Linked DNA regions of Alligator mississippiensis. The protein of the gene in region 2 binds, or shares a complex with, the protein of the main gene of each other region. Links are inferred from orthologs where the notes say so. Each region holds a gene or a part of one and is shown on either strand. Other genes may lie near its edges.

What was found. Proteins that work in one complex are often made in the same cells at the same time.
Region 1: the proteins of PRELID1 (region 2) and TRIAP1 are in contact, whole or in part, in a crystal structure (PDB 6I3V), measured with the Homo sapiens proteins. The link is inferred for Alligator mississippiensis from reciprocal best matches to the Homo sapiens genes PRELID1 and TRIAP1. Residues at the interface, in NP_037369.1 of Homo sapiens: Trp15, Asp16, Phe19, Ala20, Trp23, Gln24, Tyr26, Pro27, Val34, Leu35, Thr36, Glu37, Asp38, Ile39, Val40, His41, Arg42, Val44, Gln48, Lys49, Leu50, Leu51, Ser52, Arg53, Leu55, Thr57, Tyr79, Leu81, Asp83, Ser84; in NP_057483.1 of Homo sapiens: Met1, Asn2, Ser3, Val4, Lys12, Tyr15, Asp16, Phe19, Asn20, Trp22, Phe23, Phe27, Leu28, Gly30, Asp31, Ser32, Phe41, Tyr44, Gln45, Val48, Gln49, Ile52, Ile57, Pro58, Ile59, Leu62, Glu63, Phe64, Met65, Gly66.

What each region holds. Positions count from the first base shown.
Region 1 is NC_081833.1:20,955,076-20,962,608, reverse strand, and holds the start of TRIAP1 (TP53-regulated inhibitor of apoptosis 1), read right to left. Parts: upstream 3,094-7,533; 5' UTR 3,048-3,093; coding exon 2,901-3,047; intron 1,548-2,900; coding exon 1,464-1,547; 3' UTR 1-1,463. Other genes in the region: GATC (glutamyl-tRNA(Gln) amidotransferase subunit C, mitochondrial), read left to right, coding at 3,153-3,242, 3,984-4,034, 4,271-4,437, 5,260-5,363, 5,772-5,830. UniProt on the Homo sapiens protein: Involved in the modulation of the mitochondrial apoptotic pathway by ensuring the accumulation of cardiolipin (CL) in mitochondrial membranes.
Region 2 is NC_081832.1:79,381,192-79,387,874, reverse strand, and holds PRELID1 (PRELI domain-containing protein 1, mitochondrial), read right to left. Parts: upstream 2,027-6,683; 5' UTR 1,951-2,026; coding exon 1,859-1,950; intron 1,754-1,858; coding exon 1,528-1,753; intron 1,420-1,527; coding exon 1,306-1,419; intron 1,136-1,305; coding exon 1,057-1,135; intron 848-1,056; coding exon 711-847; 3' UTR 571-710; downstream 1-570. Other genes in the region: RAB24 (ras-related protein Rab-24), read left to right, coding at 2,259-2,375, 2,456-2,524, 2,607-2,685, 2,793-2,860, 3,111-3,210, 3,567-3,617, 3,814-3,876, 4,046-4,113. UniProt on the Homo sapiens protein: Involved in the modulation of the mitochondrial apoptotic pathway by ensuring the accumulation of cardiolipin (CL) in mitochondrial membranes.

The sequences.
Region 1 (7,533 bases), on a different chromosome or scaffold from region 2:
ATTCCCCTCACAATCCAGCAGCCCCTTATCTTCACCCTAGCGTTCTTGAGGGTAAAAGACTCAGCTCTTTTATTGAACTGGCTGGGAATTTTCCCTTTTGCAAACTTCAATGTCCACATGAAGGGAAAGAATGACCCCTGATTTGGGCCCCTCAAACCCCCAAATCCCTTGCCTTTTCAGTTCCTCCGACTGAACAAAAGCAAGAAAAAGCCACTTTCTTAAGGGATCTTGTAGGATATTCAGTGAGTTGAAAAAGGTAGAACTTACTCCTAATAGACCTCATGTCTGCATAAGGAAATAGCTATCAGAAAGCTGACGGGGAAAAATTCTTTCCTTATGAGAGGTCTCTAGCCACTTATATTACAATTCACAGGTTAGTTCTAAAGATTAGTGATGGTACTTGCAGAAAAAAAGATATTAAGCTTACATCTCTAGCAATCCTTTGCCCAAAGTATTTCAAAATCTAAGTCGAGTAACTCTTAAAAAAAAAAAGAGAGACTAAACTACTAAATTTGGGTGCTGGACATGCCTTAGGTAGTCCTATCTTGATGTGCTTTTTCTTCTTCTTCCTTCAGATTTTTCTTCTGGCTCCAAAGTAGCAAGAAGTCTCTACTGAAAGAAAAGCAATACAGATGCCCTTATCCAATCATAGTTTACGTGAAGCCTAATCTAGTAACTAGGGTCAGTCTGGCACTTTTATGGTATAGCATGGAAAGGTGTAAAGGATACTGACTAAGCATGCACTGCAACTTTACTCTCGAAGCTGGAATCACTTGCTAGTAGACAGCAGTAACATATTATCAGTGCTTTGAGTGAGGCTACTGAGCATAACTCCTCAAGTCGGTGTTTCTCCCCTGTGGCAGGTTGCCTTCGGCCTTTCTTGAAGGCCAAAGTCAGGTTTAACTACACCCCTGCATCCTTTAGTTAAGTATAACTTGACCTGACCAGGTTACATTCTTCATTGCATATATCCAAACACTGCAGACCCAATGGTGGTAGCATTTAAAACACTGCTATAATTAAACGGATGAGAGGCAAGGCTGTAGCCCATAATATTTAGTAAAACAAAGATCAGTCAAGATGTAGCCCACTAAAATTTGGCAGCATGCACCTCTTCATGTTCATCTTAACACTGGAAATTGTCTAATATATAAATAAGAAACAGAAACCAATCCTAACAAGCATTCCTCAGTTCAGAGTACATTTGTTTAGGAAGTTAAATGAAGGGTTTTTCACACTGCAGAACGTAATGCTCATTTCAATGCTCATTTCAAATGGAACAGTAATTGCCACACAGCTCAGCATTAAAAAACTGCACAGAAGACTCCTTGCTTTTTAAAAAACCAGACAGAAGCAGCAGCTGATTTAAAGCCACCTTCCCATCAGCTGTCCTCTAGTCTTTTGTAAGATGATTTTTTTGAGCCCAAAGATCAAGCTAATGGTTCTGTGTGGTCCAACTGAAGTCATGAGGAGTTTTCAGCTTTTCCTTTGCTGGGGCCCATGAATTCCAGCCCTTCAATGGGGATGTCCTTCTCCTTAATAGCTTTCTAGGAGGAAAAAAGAAGCAAATATTTTATACATCTTTTGCTGTGAAGACTTTCTTGGTGCCTGATGTGATTTAAGACCACTCTGCTCTAGCTCAAGTTGGTATTAAGGCTTCCAAGCTGGACCAAAGAAAGTCTGAGAGTTCCTGCTAAATCAGTACTAAACTGCAGCCTAGACCCTCACTCATCTCTCATCCACACTCCTTCCCGCTACCATCTCAGTAAAAGGGCAAATTCTACTTAGTAAGGGAAAGAAAGCAAGCTGAGGGACTCTCTGAAGAAGTCACAGTGCTGGAAGCAGAAAAAACAAAAACAGACGTGAATGAAGGATTTGTGGAGGACTAGATTTTAGATTTACAGCACCATTGGAGGAATAGAACTCTTTTGCTGAAGGAAAGAAATTAACGAAGTGGTTCTTAACCAAAAGGGAAAAGAGAATGCACATTATGAAGAATGAAAGAATGAAATGTAAGGAAACAGCAAAAGAAGGCACACAAGTGGAAACAATAAATTTTGTAAAATTAAATGTCTAAAAATCCCCAAAGGGACACTCAAAGACTCTCAGTGAACTGTGCGGTCAGCCCCTTCTACCTGCGTTGGAAATCATTAAGGAATGATGGCTCAGGTGTTTGGCCCCTTACAGGGTGTGGGTCCTGCTGATGAGCTGATACTGCAAAATGAGCAAACATGGTCTCACATATATTGAGGAGGTTCTGTAAGAGGTGGTAATGCTTCTTTAGACTAGCTTGGAAAGGTTGCTCCTTTGTGAAGTTTTAGCCTGTCAAAAAGCTTATATGACTCTAAATCCAAATCAGCTCACTATGGGCATTATATAATACAGCCCTACAGGTCATCGTGGCTTCACAGTGAGGTAGTGCTGCAAATAAAAACATCCTACTGAGGTCTGTGCCATGCCGGGCAGCTCCTCATCTGGTGTTTTGTCTCAAGGAAATGAAACACTTGAGAGTTTGTAAAGAAGGAGAAGCGATGCTGGGCTATGGCCAGGTGAGAAACAGACACAAGGGATGTTTTTGAAGAGGAAACATTTGAGAAGACAAGAGGAGCCCGTGCTGCCACCGCAGACGTTACCACGGTGTCAACGAGCGACCCGCCAGCTCTCGCACGGCATTTCTTCTCCCGGCGGCGCCCGGGCCCCGGGGTCCGTCTCCCCGCCAGCACGCCGAGCGCAGGAGCAGCAGCGGGCACAGGCTAAGAGGGTTTAATCATCTCCCCGGCTCGCGGGTGCTAGCAACAGGCCCGGGGCCCCTTCCTCTGCACCGGCCTCGCGCGACGCGACGAGGCTTCCCTACAGGGGAAGGGCGGGAGGCGGGTCTCGCACGCGGGCGCGGCGCCCACCTGCACGCAGAGCTGGTAGCGCTTGAAAAGCTGCACGCAGGGGTCCCCCGCGCTCTCGCCCTTGAGGAACTTCTCAGCGAACCAGCGGTTGAAGCACTGGTCGTACTCGCGCTTCAGCTCCGTGCAGGCCTCGCCCACGCTGTTCATGGCGGAACCTCCGCCGCCTGAGGGGCGGGCCTCGCCGTGACGTACTTCCCGCCCGGCGCGGTTGGATGACGTATTTCCACCGCGCGGCTCCTCTGCCGGGCCGGGATGTGGGCGCTGCGGGGCTGCCGCTGCCTTCGCGCCGCCTGGTCGTGGGGCGGGAGCCGCCTGGCGCGGGGAGCGACCGGCGGCCGGCAGGTGGCTGCCAGCGCCGGGGCTGGTCACGTGCTGTCGTACCCCATGGGCTGGGGGCGGGAGGTTTTGCCTGGGGGGCGCCTGGCGCCGACTTCCTTAGAAGCGAGAGCCCGGCAGGGGCAGCGCTGAGGGCGAGGGCTGAGCCCAGGCCCGGGGTTGTTGATTTCTCGGGCTCCAGCTGCACCGGGCATCCCGGGACTGGGTGCGAGCGCGCGAAGGCTGGCGGGGGCCGCGATCTCCTTGCTCCGTTTCTTGGTCCGATTCGATGCCTTCCACCTTCTCTCAGGGGAATTTCTCCCTCAATGTGGAGTCAATTAAACCTACTGTAAAAATCCCCAGCGGGTGGAGACTCGTCCTTCCCGGGGCCTGTAAGCAGCACGGAGCCATTGGGCAGGAGGCAGCAGTGATTTGCACCTTGTAGATCAGGGCTTGCCAACGTTTTTGGGCAGAGTGCCCCAAACACCCATAAACTCGACCTGAAAGATATTGGTGTGCCAGGGGCAGATAGCGGGGCCCGTGAGGCAGCGCAGCCCTGGCCCCTTCCCTGCCATCCACCCTAAGGCACATGTGCCAAGCAAAATGCTTTTGATTGCTGCACTCTGGCACCTGTGGTGGCAGGCACTGCCTACCCCTTGTTGTAGACTAACAAAAGTGTGCGTGCGCACATATATACTATCTACTTTGGTTAGTCTGTTTTCATCTACCCTGCCTTATATTTATCATGGCCTATCTCTTGCACTTTAGATTGATCAGAATCCAGAATGGCAGCTAGAGGAACAGAAACCGCTTCCTCAGGTATAATGAATCTATCAACATATGTACATTTAGTCCAGGCCAGTCTGTTTCTGCTAAATGATCACTGCAAATCTGAGACCGAGTAATAGAGGAATTCCTAATATCCTCTGGTCAAGACTCAGGATAGTTTATCTAGCTTTATGTTTATTCATTCTGCCTATCCTAACTCATCCCCATATGGTAGTCTTAATACAGGACCTAGACATGTGACTTCTTTTTTTCCCCCTTTCTCAAAGAAAAAAGTAACCATGGAGTTGCTTGATCATCTGGAACGACTGGCACTAGTTGATTTTCGCAATTGGGAGGGCGTAGAGCGGCTGGAGAAAGCAATTCAATTTGCTGATCAACTTCATGAGGTTAACACAGAAGGGATAGAGCCAATGGATTCGGTACTTGAGAACAGGTAAAAAATTATGGTTAGTGACTGTTTTAACTACTAGTTTTCCAAAGAAATGCTGCAGTAAATTTTGATAATTTTTTTGCCACTAATCATGCTAAATATGAAGTTGGCTGGTCCTCCACAAAATCCTTTATTTTAGGTCAGGTGTTTTTTTCTTTTGGGAGGGGTAGAGGAGTGTCTACAGTGTCCCTAAACTTGGAATATAAACACAAGGCTGTACACAGATTTCTTAATGTTCTTATGTAGACCATTCATGTTAGAAATATCCTGTATTACAAATGCAAAATCATTGTAAATCACTCCTGAATGTTCTTGCACCTGGTGTCTGCACCCCGAACAGTTTCAGGGACCGTTTATATAAACAATGCCTTCTCTGTATTAGTTTCTTTAGCAGCTTCAGTTCATCAAGAAACCAGATTTTCTGCATGCTTATATGAAAAAATGTGTTTCACTCAGCTCAATATAGAGTAGGGCTGATAATGTTAAGCACTAGGCCAACTGCTGTATTTATTTCTTCAGAGAACTCAGGACATGGTATTGCTCATTTCAGGAAAGCTCAGTAAGTGGCAACAACACATGTGCCTGGTCAAATGTAAAGCTTGACCTGAACAATGGGACTGGTGGAAGCGTGTTACCCAGCTGCCAGGGATCTCCCAGCAAGACCTAAATTCAAGATGCAACTAGCATATTTTAGTATGACAAGTTTTGAAGGCACTTCCTTCCGATTCTAGAGCATGACTTTGCATCCTGTATCAGACTCTCTAAAGCACAGTTGGCAAAGTAGGTCATTTGGAAAAAGAACATTAAGTTTCCTGTGCTCCCCAGGTGTCTGTATCTCAGAGGAGATAACATCACAGAAGGCAACTGCACCAAGGAGCTGCTACAAAATGCCAGCCAGACAGCAGAAGAATATTTTGAAGCTCCACCAGGTAGAGTTCTGTTACAGATGATGCTAAATGGGACTTGATACCTGCCCTGATTTTTAAGAAGTATTAACCTGTCAGTTAATTCACTTCTGTGTATACTGAATGGTGGTAAACATGTACTGAACTAGGATGATAGCCACAGTCACTTGTTAAGATAGAGAGGGATGGGACCCTAGCTCATTATTACTTAGTGGCACTGCAGAAGTTATGGCTTTATATTTACACCTAATGTTGCTTATGCAGACTCTTTACAAAAGGCAGCTTTTTGTAAACTCAAGTGCAGCTTTTTTGCAGGGGAAAACCTAGTCACTGGTAAGTGTTTAAGCCACAAGGACAAACATGCGAGTTGCAGCAATATTATTCAGGAAACTAGCAGGCTGTCTCATACTCTCATTATCTGTTTCCTATTAGGTAACATCCCTCTACCAAAGTTAGAAGAGCGTGAGAGCTTCCTGCAGGACTCCAACTGAAAAGCTTGGGCCAGAATGCCATACTGGTTCTTTCAGCAGTATGCTGTTGGGGACAATTAATCTTATGTAGCTACAGCTGATGTTACATTATCCCAAGAACAACACCCACACACGAGTACTGATTCTTTCTGCTGCTCCTCTTTACAATATTTTATTTCTATCAAAGGGTTTGTTTGGATTATTTTAAAATATACACATGAAGGTGGAAGGTGTTAAGCCACTTTCAAAATAGAAATATGGCCTCAATACTGTTTGCTTAGTCTGCATTTGGTAGGGCTGAAGTGTCAACCTGGAGAACATCAAACAAGTTCAGTACTCTAGATACATCTGCATATCACAGCCTTGATGACAAGGGAAACTAGGACTATCCAACTTTTCTGTCAAGTTATGAGAGGGGCTGGAGAAGAAGTTAGGTACTGCAGCTTTGTAAGAACCTAATTCACTTAAACTATTTTTTACTTCCTGGCTTAGCTCTGATTAGAGGTCTAATCAGGAAAAGAAACCCTCAAAGTTCAGTACAGTAGAACAGGTACTGTTGAGGGAACTTCTGCTAGATTAAAAAAGCATTTAGAGAAAACGCTATTTTTACCATATGCCTTCATCTCTCTCAGCTCTGACTAGTCTTACATTTGTATATATACTGCTTTCCATGTATAGCTTTGTGGAATGCTATGCTAATATGCCAGATTCCTACATTTACACTTAAGTAAGGCATATAGAGTTTGTTTATACATACAAGTGATTTTTTTTGATGTAAAGTTGAATGCCCTGCCCAGAAAGGCCAGTGGAAAACACTTATTGTGAGAGGCCATTTGACCATCCATATGCATTGATTAAACTGAAGTTCTGGCTGCTTTCTGATCATCGTAACCAGAGATCCTGGTTTTCTCTGATTTAAAAAAAAAATGCAAACCAAAAAACAAACCAACAACCCAATTTTCAGGTTAAAAAAGGAACCCAAAATCCACATTTTTCTGTGATCAAAATGAAACACCACTACATATATATCCATATATTACTGCCGTTTCATTTTGATCACAGTTAAATGTGGATTTTGGGTTACTACTTTAACCTGAAAGTTAGGTTGTTTGGTTTTTTTTTAAATCAGTGAGAACCTGACCATAACACTGTGATGGCCTGGTGTATAATAAAGCAGTAGAGAACTTTGTTCCAAGCAAACACAGTTGTAGTAGTGCTAGTAGTTTGTTTTCAGTGGTAAAATCACTTATAAGGGGAATGAAAGGTGCTATAAGCAGTGCATTTATTTCTCCTGCTGAAACTTTCTAGTGTGACAGAGCCTGCCTTAAATAAATGTGCTACACTTAGACATGCACAATAGCCTTTGTGATGTCAGAACACATTTTAGGAACTGAAGCAGTTCAGCAACCTTAAAAGGTGCAAATAGATGCCATTAGCAGAAAGCTAACAGATGCCTTTGCTGTTCTCAGTAATGTACCTAGTAGAAACTAGACTGGAACCTGACCAGTGTTCTATCCTCAGCAATTTGGGCAAATCACTTTCTCCACCTTGGAAGTGACAGTGATGCTGTCTTGTTTATAAATTGCTTTGAGATGCAAGGAAAGCAGTAGTTGTAGGCCTGCACTGAGTAGTGTGACAGTTAGATGCAATTCTTTTTTCTACCATTTATCTGAAACTGAAGTCAGTAGCTTTTTCTGTACTGTAGTTGAGTTATTTATAAACCA
Region 2 (6,683 bases):
GGGCCCGGGAGGAGCCCTGAAGACCCATCAGCCGCATCCCCTGGAGCAGCGTGGGCACCCCCTGCATACACCCCGCCACCCAGGCATGCGGCGGGAGGAGCCTGCCCCTGCTTTCAACCGCTGCCAGCTGCTGGGACCGAACTGCATGCTCTGACAGCCACAGGTGCACTGAGGGGAGGGAAGAAGGTGGGGGCTCTTGCTCTGGGTGGCAGGAACTGGAACCGCTTCAGAAAATGCTGCCCCGCAAGCAGGCAGGCAGCAGCGATGCCCCACACCCTGTCAGGCCGCCTCTGCTCGCACAGGGCCGAGCGCCAGCAGGGGCTGTAGGCACCTGAGCGCCTCCCTCTGCTGCCAGGACATTGCTGAATGCAACAGGAACAGGGGGGCCAAAGCCAGCATCTCCTGGAGAGCTGCACCTGCTGTCACAGCCCCAGCCCTCATCCCCGGGATTGGGACTTGGCCTCCTGCTTCCAGCAGCCTACGCCCTCCCTAGCCTGCTGGTGGTGTCTAACCCTGGCCCTGGGTGACACATGGACCTGCACTGCCAGCCAGGCCCAGCCAAAACAAGCCTCAGGGAGTCGAATGTTTAATGATAATTACATCTCAGGAAGGCGTTCTCCATCACTGATTGTCAGACTTGTACAACATTGATTAAAAAATATAAAATCTACGGAGGTCCTGTCTGGGGGGAGAAACAGGTGGAGCTGAGCTCACATGTACTGCTGCTTCTTGGTGGCTGCCTTGCTGGCCAGGTCCTTAGCTTTCTCTGTAGCTGCTAAGGCCGTCTCCTTGGCCTTCTCCGTTGCCTGCTTTGCGGTCTCCACCAGCGTTTTGGATGGAGCTTCCCCTGCAATGAGTCACTGACCTGTAATCGTCTGGGCGCCTCCGCCCCTGGAGGGCAGGGACAGCTTCCCCTCACTCAGCCCTCCCGGGGCAAACTCCCTGCCCTGACAGCGCAGGTTCCACCGCCCGGGCCGGCAGAGCTGGTGCTGCGGCAGGCAGCAATCCACACACCCAGCCGGTAACAGCCCCGCCCGCCCGCCCGCACGCACGCACCTTGGATCCTAGCCAGCGCGTACTCGAAGCCCTTGGTGCTCTTGGTCACGTTGCTCTTGAACCGGGCCAGGCCGAACTCCTGCAACAGGAGACGCTGTGAGGCTGCAGCTCAGACCCAGCGGTCCCAGCAGCGCATCAGCTTCCAAGTGCTTGCTGCCCCCGTCCCACCAGGGCTGTCTGGGCGGCACGCCGGGCTCCCGGGGGGCCACGTCCCTGCCGCGCATGGGGACCCTGGGAACGAACACTGACCTGGACGGCCCGGGAGATGCCGAAAAGGCTGGAGGAAATCCAGGCTTCCCGCTGCACCTCCGTCCAGCCGCTGTTCTCTGGGTTCACGCGGTAAACGCAGCGCTCCTCCACCACCTGCCAGGGAGAGGACGGTGTGACATGAGCCCTGCCCGCAGCTCCAGCCGCGTCCCGGGAGCCCTTCCTTGCCCAGGCAGACACCCCCGGCCCGGCCCGGCCGCCCACCATCAGGCGCGCGTGGTTGATGTTCCGGGTGAAGGTGGTCATGGTCTGGTTCTGGGGGTCCACGATGGAGTCCTCCAGGATGTACACCGAGTGCGCCACGTTGGCGGGGAAGAAGCGCTCGGCCCAGCGCGGCATCCTGTTGGTCTTGGTCAGGAGCCGCCGGGAGAGCAGCTTCTGGTCCGGCGTCACCTCGCGGTGCACGATGTCCTCGGTCAGCACGTGCTTGCTGCGGGGGCAGGGGGGGGCATCAGGGAGGGGGGCCCGACCCGACCCGGCCCAGCCCAGCGCCCCAAGGAGCGGCGCTCCCGCCCCGGCCCCGGCCCGGCCGCACCTGTAGGGGTTCGGGTAGCGTTGCCAGAAGGCGGCGAAGACTTGGTCCCAGGGCCCCTTGAGCACGCCCGTGCTGGCGCAGTGCTTGCCCATGGCGCCGCCTCAGGCCGGGCCCGCCGCTCCCGCACCCCACGTCCGCGTCCGCCCCCGCCCCGGCCGCGCAGCGCCCGCCATGCGACGACAGCGTCCCTGCGGCAACTTCCGGGGCCGCCAGTCCTCGTGACCGGAAGGGCCGAGCACCACTTCCGCTCCCGCTCGGCCTGCTTCCGCCCTGCCCCTGCCCCACTTCCGCTTCGGCGTCACGTGCTTCCGGAGTCCTGGCCCGAGCCGAGCCGGCGGGGCCATGCGGCGCGGCTGAGCGGGTCCCGCTCCCGGCCCGGCCCCGGCCCGGCGGCAGCAGCATGAGCGGCCCGCGCGTGGACGCCAAGGTGGTGCTGCTGGGCAAGGAGTACGTGGGCAAGACCAGCCTGGTGGAGCGCTACGTTCACCAGCGCTTCCTCGTGGGGCCCTACCAGAACGTGAGTGCCGGCCCGCGCCCCCGCCCCCCCGACCCCGGTGCTTCCCCTCCCCCTCCCTCTCCCTCTCCCTCCTCTTGCAGACCATCGGCGCCGCCTTCGTGGCCAAGGTCATCGCCGTGGGGGACCGGGCCGTGACGCTGGGCATCTGGGTGAGTGGGGCCGGCCGGGGGGGCGGGGGCGCGGAGCTGACCCTGGCCCCGACCCTGACCCTGACCCTGCCCCCGCCCGCAGGACACGGCGGGCTCCGAGCGCTACGAGGCCATGAGCCGCATCTACTACCGCGGGGCCCGGGCGGCCATCGTGTGCTACGGTAAGGGGGCCGGGGCGGCCGGGCCCTCCCCGCCCCCCCTGCGGGGGCTCCTCGGCCGGGCGGGCCCCGGTCCGCGGCGGGCAGCGTCCGACTCTCGGCTCCGGCAGATCTCACGGACGGCAGCAGTTTCGAGCGCGCCAAGTTCTGGGTGAACGAGCTGCAGACCTTCGAGGAGGTGAGCGGGGGCGGGGGGGACACTTCCCCTTCGGGAGCCGCCGAGGGACTTCCCGCGCGGCGAGGAGCCGTTTCCTCGGGTGCAGGTTCCTCAAGTGCCGGCCGTGCCCCGGGTACCCGCGAGGGGGTGCTAATTCCCCTCCCCCCGCGCCGCAGCCCCGGTGCGGCGCTGCGCGGCGCGGGGGCATCTGGGTGCGGCGCGGGCGCCCGGGCTCCCGCGTGTGGCTGACCCCCCTCCCTGCTCGGCCCAGAACTGCCGCATCTACCTGTGCGGCACCAAGAGCGACCTGCTGGAGGAGGACAGGCGCCGGCGGGGGGTCGACTTCCACGACGTGCAGGACTACGCAGATGGTAGGTCGTGTCTCGGTCGCAGCCCCTGCCCTGCTCCCACTGGGCCTGGATCTTCTTTCGGGCTTCGGCCCCATCTCTGCTTCACGCTGGTCAGGTGCGGCTCAGGGACCCTCCCGGTCCCGGTCCCTGTGGAAATGAAGGCCAGCACCCGCTGGGGCCCATGTCCACCCGCACAGCAGGAACGGCTCCGGGGCTGGCGGTCCCTGGGGGCGAGCCCCCAGCCGCGTGTTTGCTTAGGCTAGCGGGAGAAGGGGCCCAGAGGTTGCACCGGGCCAGCTGGGAAGGGGGTAGAGGGTGGTGGTGGTTCCTGCCCCGTGGCCCATGCTTCTCAGGCACTCACCTGTCATCTTGCTCAGAGATTAAGGCCGAGCTCTTCGAGACCTCCAGCAAGACAGGCCAGAGCGTGGGTGAGTGACCGCTTCTCCGTGGAGCCGCAGCTGGAGCCAGGCCGGGCCCTTCCCTCTAGAGCGGCCATGCAGATCAAGGGCTCAGTGCTGCCCCATCTCTCAGGTCCTGGGCACGATGCAGGCTCCTCCTCAGCCAGGACCCTGGGGCTGGTAGGGGGTGGGGGGCACGGCCGGGCCTGACTCTTTCCTGTCTCAGATGAGCTGTTTCAGAAGGTAGCAGAGGACTACGTGCGCTTCACTGCCTTCCAGCTGATGACAGGTGAGTGCGGGAGAGGCATCTCTTGCTCCTCAGCAGGCACAGGTCTGGTGTGGCAGCGTGGAGCCTTCTGCTCCCACAGTGTCTGCTTGGGAGCAGGGCTGGGGTGCAGCTCCCATCGGCTGTGGGCCACAGCTGGCGGGCCACCCCCTCACTGCTCCTTCTCTTGCAGAGGAGAAAGGAGGCATCGACCTGAGCCAGAAGAGCAGCCCCTACTTCTACAGCTGCTGCCACCACTGAGCCAGAGCAACGCCCCTGCCGCGGCACAGCCCCTGCTCCTTGCACTGGCCTGGTTTTAGCTGTGGGGCTGCAGAGACGGGGCCCCGGCACTGGACAGGGACATGGTTGGGATGCTGGAGGGGACATAGCTCTGCTCTTGCTGCAGGACCTTGTGGCCGTGGGTCCCCTGCTGCTGCCTGCTCCGCGGCTGCGTCCCCACCTAGCTCCTCCCGGCACAGGCTGCGCTGGCTGGAACTGCACCCTGGGCCCACGTGGATTGTCTCAGCTTCTGTTAACTTATAGAGATGTAAATAAAGTGCGTTGCGGTGTGTGAGATGGCAGCGCTGGGCTCACTGTGCTGGGACCAGGCCGGTGGCCTGAGGCCTCAGGGAGCAAGTGCAGGGGGCTGCGGAATGGGGCAGGCAGGGGCCTTCTGGCTCCTCTGCCCGGAGCAGGATGGGGAGAAGCCCCTGGTGCGAGCCCAGGAGAGGGCCAGACCTTGCTGTCCCAGACAGGCCGGGCTGAGAGCCCTGCAGGCAGCCTTACTCCTGCCTGTACTGCTCTTAGCAGCAGGAAGCACTGCTTCAGGCCCGCCCTGGCCCTGGCCCTGGCCCTGCACCTGCACCCACCTCCTTCAGCTCCTGCATCCTCCTGGCCTCTTTGAGCCCTTCTCCCTTGGGCACTGGAGAACTGCTCCCTGCATGCTCCTGTTCCTGGAAGGCGCTTGGCGCTCTGCCCTGCCACCACATCCGTGAGCAGCCATCTGCGACACCCTGAGGTCCTGCCAAGCTGGCAGGTGTATCCCGATGCAGGGGGAGGGGACGGCTGCTGCTGTGAGCAGCCCTGCACCCTTCCCTGGGCAACTGCACCAGGGAGAGAACCAGAGCCCTGAGGCCCCCAGCCCAGGCCACCCAGGGGCACCGTCTTCACCCCGGGGTGGGGGGGGAAGGTATACTCACCCGTCAGGCTGCTGCGGCTACCCAGGGCTGGTGGGTAGATTTCCCTCGTGGGAAACCCCTGCTTGCTGCAAGCACCCCTTACCCTTTGCTCCCACCTGCGGACAGAGGGGCCTGCATGCTACAGGGCCGTGCCCAGGGTGCACCAACCCTTTCCTCCGCCCTGGCTGGCCAAATCTCACAGCCTTCTGGGTTGTGCGCTGGGGGGAGGCAGGGACTCGGCACCTCAACCTCGCGGTGCCTGGAGTGAAAGGTCTCTGCTCGCCGTGGAGGGCTCAGGTTGGGGGAGACTCCCACCAGAGCATGCTACCTACGAGGCTGAGCCGATGGACCAGGAGCAGCCTGGGCCCGAGGGCTCCCCCCTGCGCTGCTGCTGCCAGGGGTCAGTTGCAGCCCACCGCGCCCCGGGGAGCAGGCAGCTGGGACCCCCACGGCCCAGGTCCGCGCTCGTGTTGCTGCCAGGCTGAAGCCTAACTCGCAGGCTGACCTGACGGAAGGAGACACGCCAGCCCTGGTCCCTATCCAGGCTACTCAAGTCACCCACCTGGCGAAGCTGGAGCAACCTGTCCCCAGCCTTCCCAGTGTGCACCAACATCTCTGCCAGCCGTGGTCCTGGCTGCAGCCGTGCACAGGCGCTGGGGACCGAGTGCCCGCTAACTGCGCCGGTCCCTCCTTCCCTGCACCGGGGCCCGTACCTCCCCGTCCCCCAGTCTGTGCAGGGGGTGCTGCCCCTGACCTGCTTGTGCCCCCAAGACAAACCACACGAGAGGGCATCGGGAGTAAAGTTAAACTTTACTTTACAGTAATCGTTCGTCTATGTACAGAGAATTACAGTACGTGTTCTGGGAGCACCTGGCAGGGCCACCCTCTGCCCATCACACGCAGCCCGGGGCGAGAGGAAGGCCGTGGCCCCAGATTCCCCCCTCTCGCTGCACGCGCCGGCCACGCCGCTCTCCCCAGGCCAAGCGGTGCGGGTGTCTATGTGCTGCATCCACCTCCCCGCGTGCCTCGAGGCGCTGGGTGGCTGCGCCTGGTCCCTCCTGCAGTCACCGCTCCCGTCCCCCTGCTGGCCCCCTTCCAGTGTTGCCTGCATCGGTCCCCAAGGTGCCTGTGCCGCCTGGACCAGCCCCACCCAGCTAGGCCCCGCTGTGACGCAGGTAACGCTTCACTTGCACCTGGGTGCTGTCCAGACTAAAGCTTACGGCCCTTGCTGCCTCCTGTGACCCAGAGCCGAGCCCCGGAGCAGGACCCTGGCATGGCCTTGGGCAAGGGCACCAGCCGGAGCCTGGAGCCACAGGAAGGGCCCCGGAGGCAGCAGCAGCAAACCCCAGCTCCATTTCCCTCGTCTGCAGCTGCTAGGGCTCCTCCCGGGCCCTGCTCCAGCTGCACCAGTCCAGGGGAGGGGAGGGGAGGGACGAGCCCGGGCAGGAGCGGGTGCAGGGACTGCGCCAGAGGGCCGCAGCTGTTCCCAAAGCAGGTGCGACTCCCACCCTGTTCTCGCCTTCCCGGGGGGCCGGCGCAGGACAGGCTGCCGCACCCTTCTGCCACCGGCCCCGTCTTGCCAGTGCTCAGGCCAACGGGTGCCACGGCTCCAGCCCACCCCGGCACGAGGCTGTTCCCCAGTGCCAAGGTCAA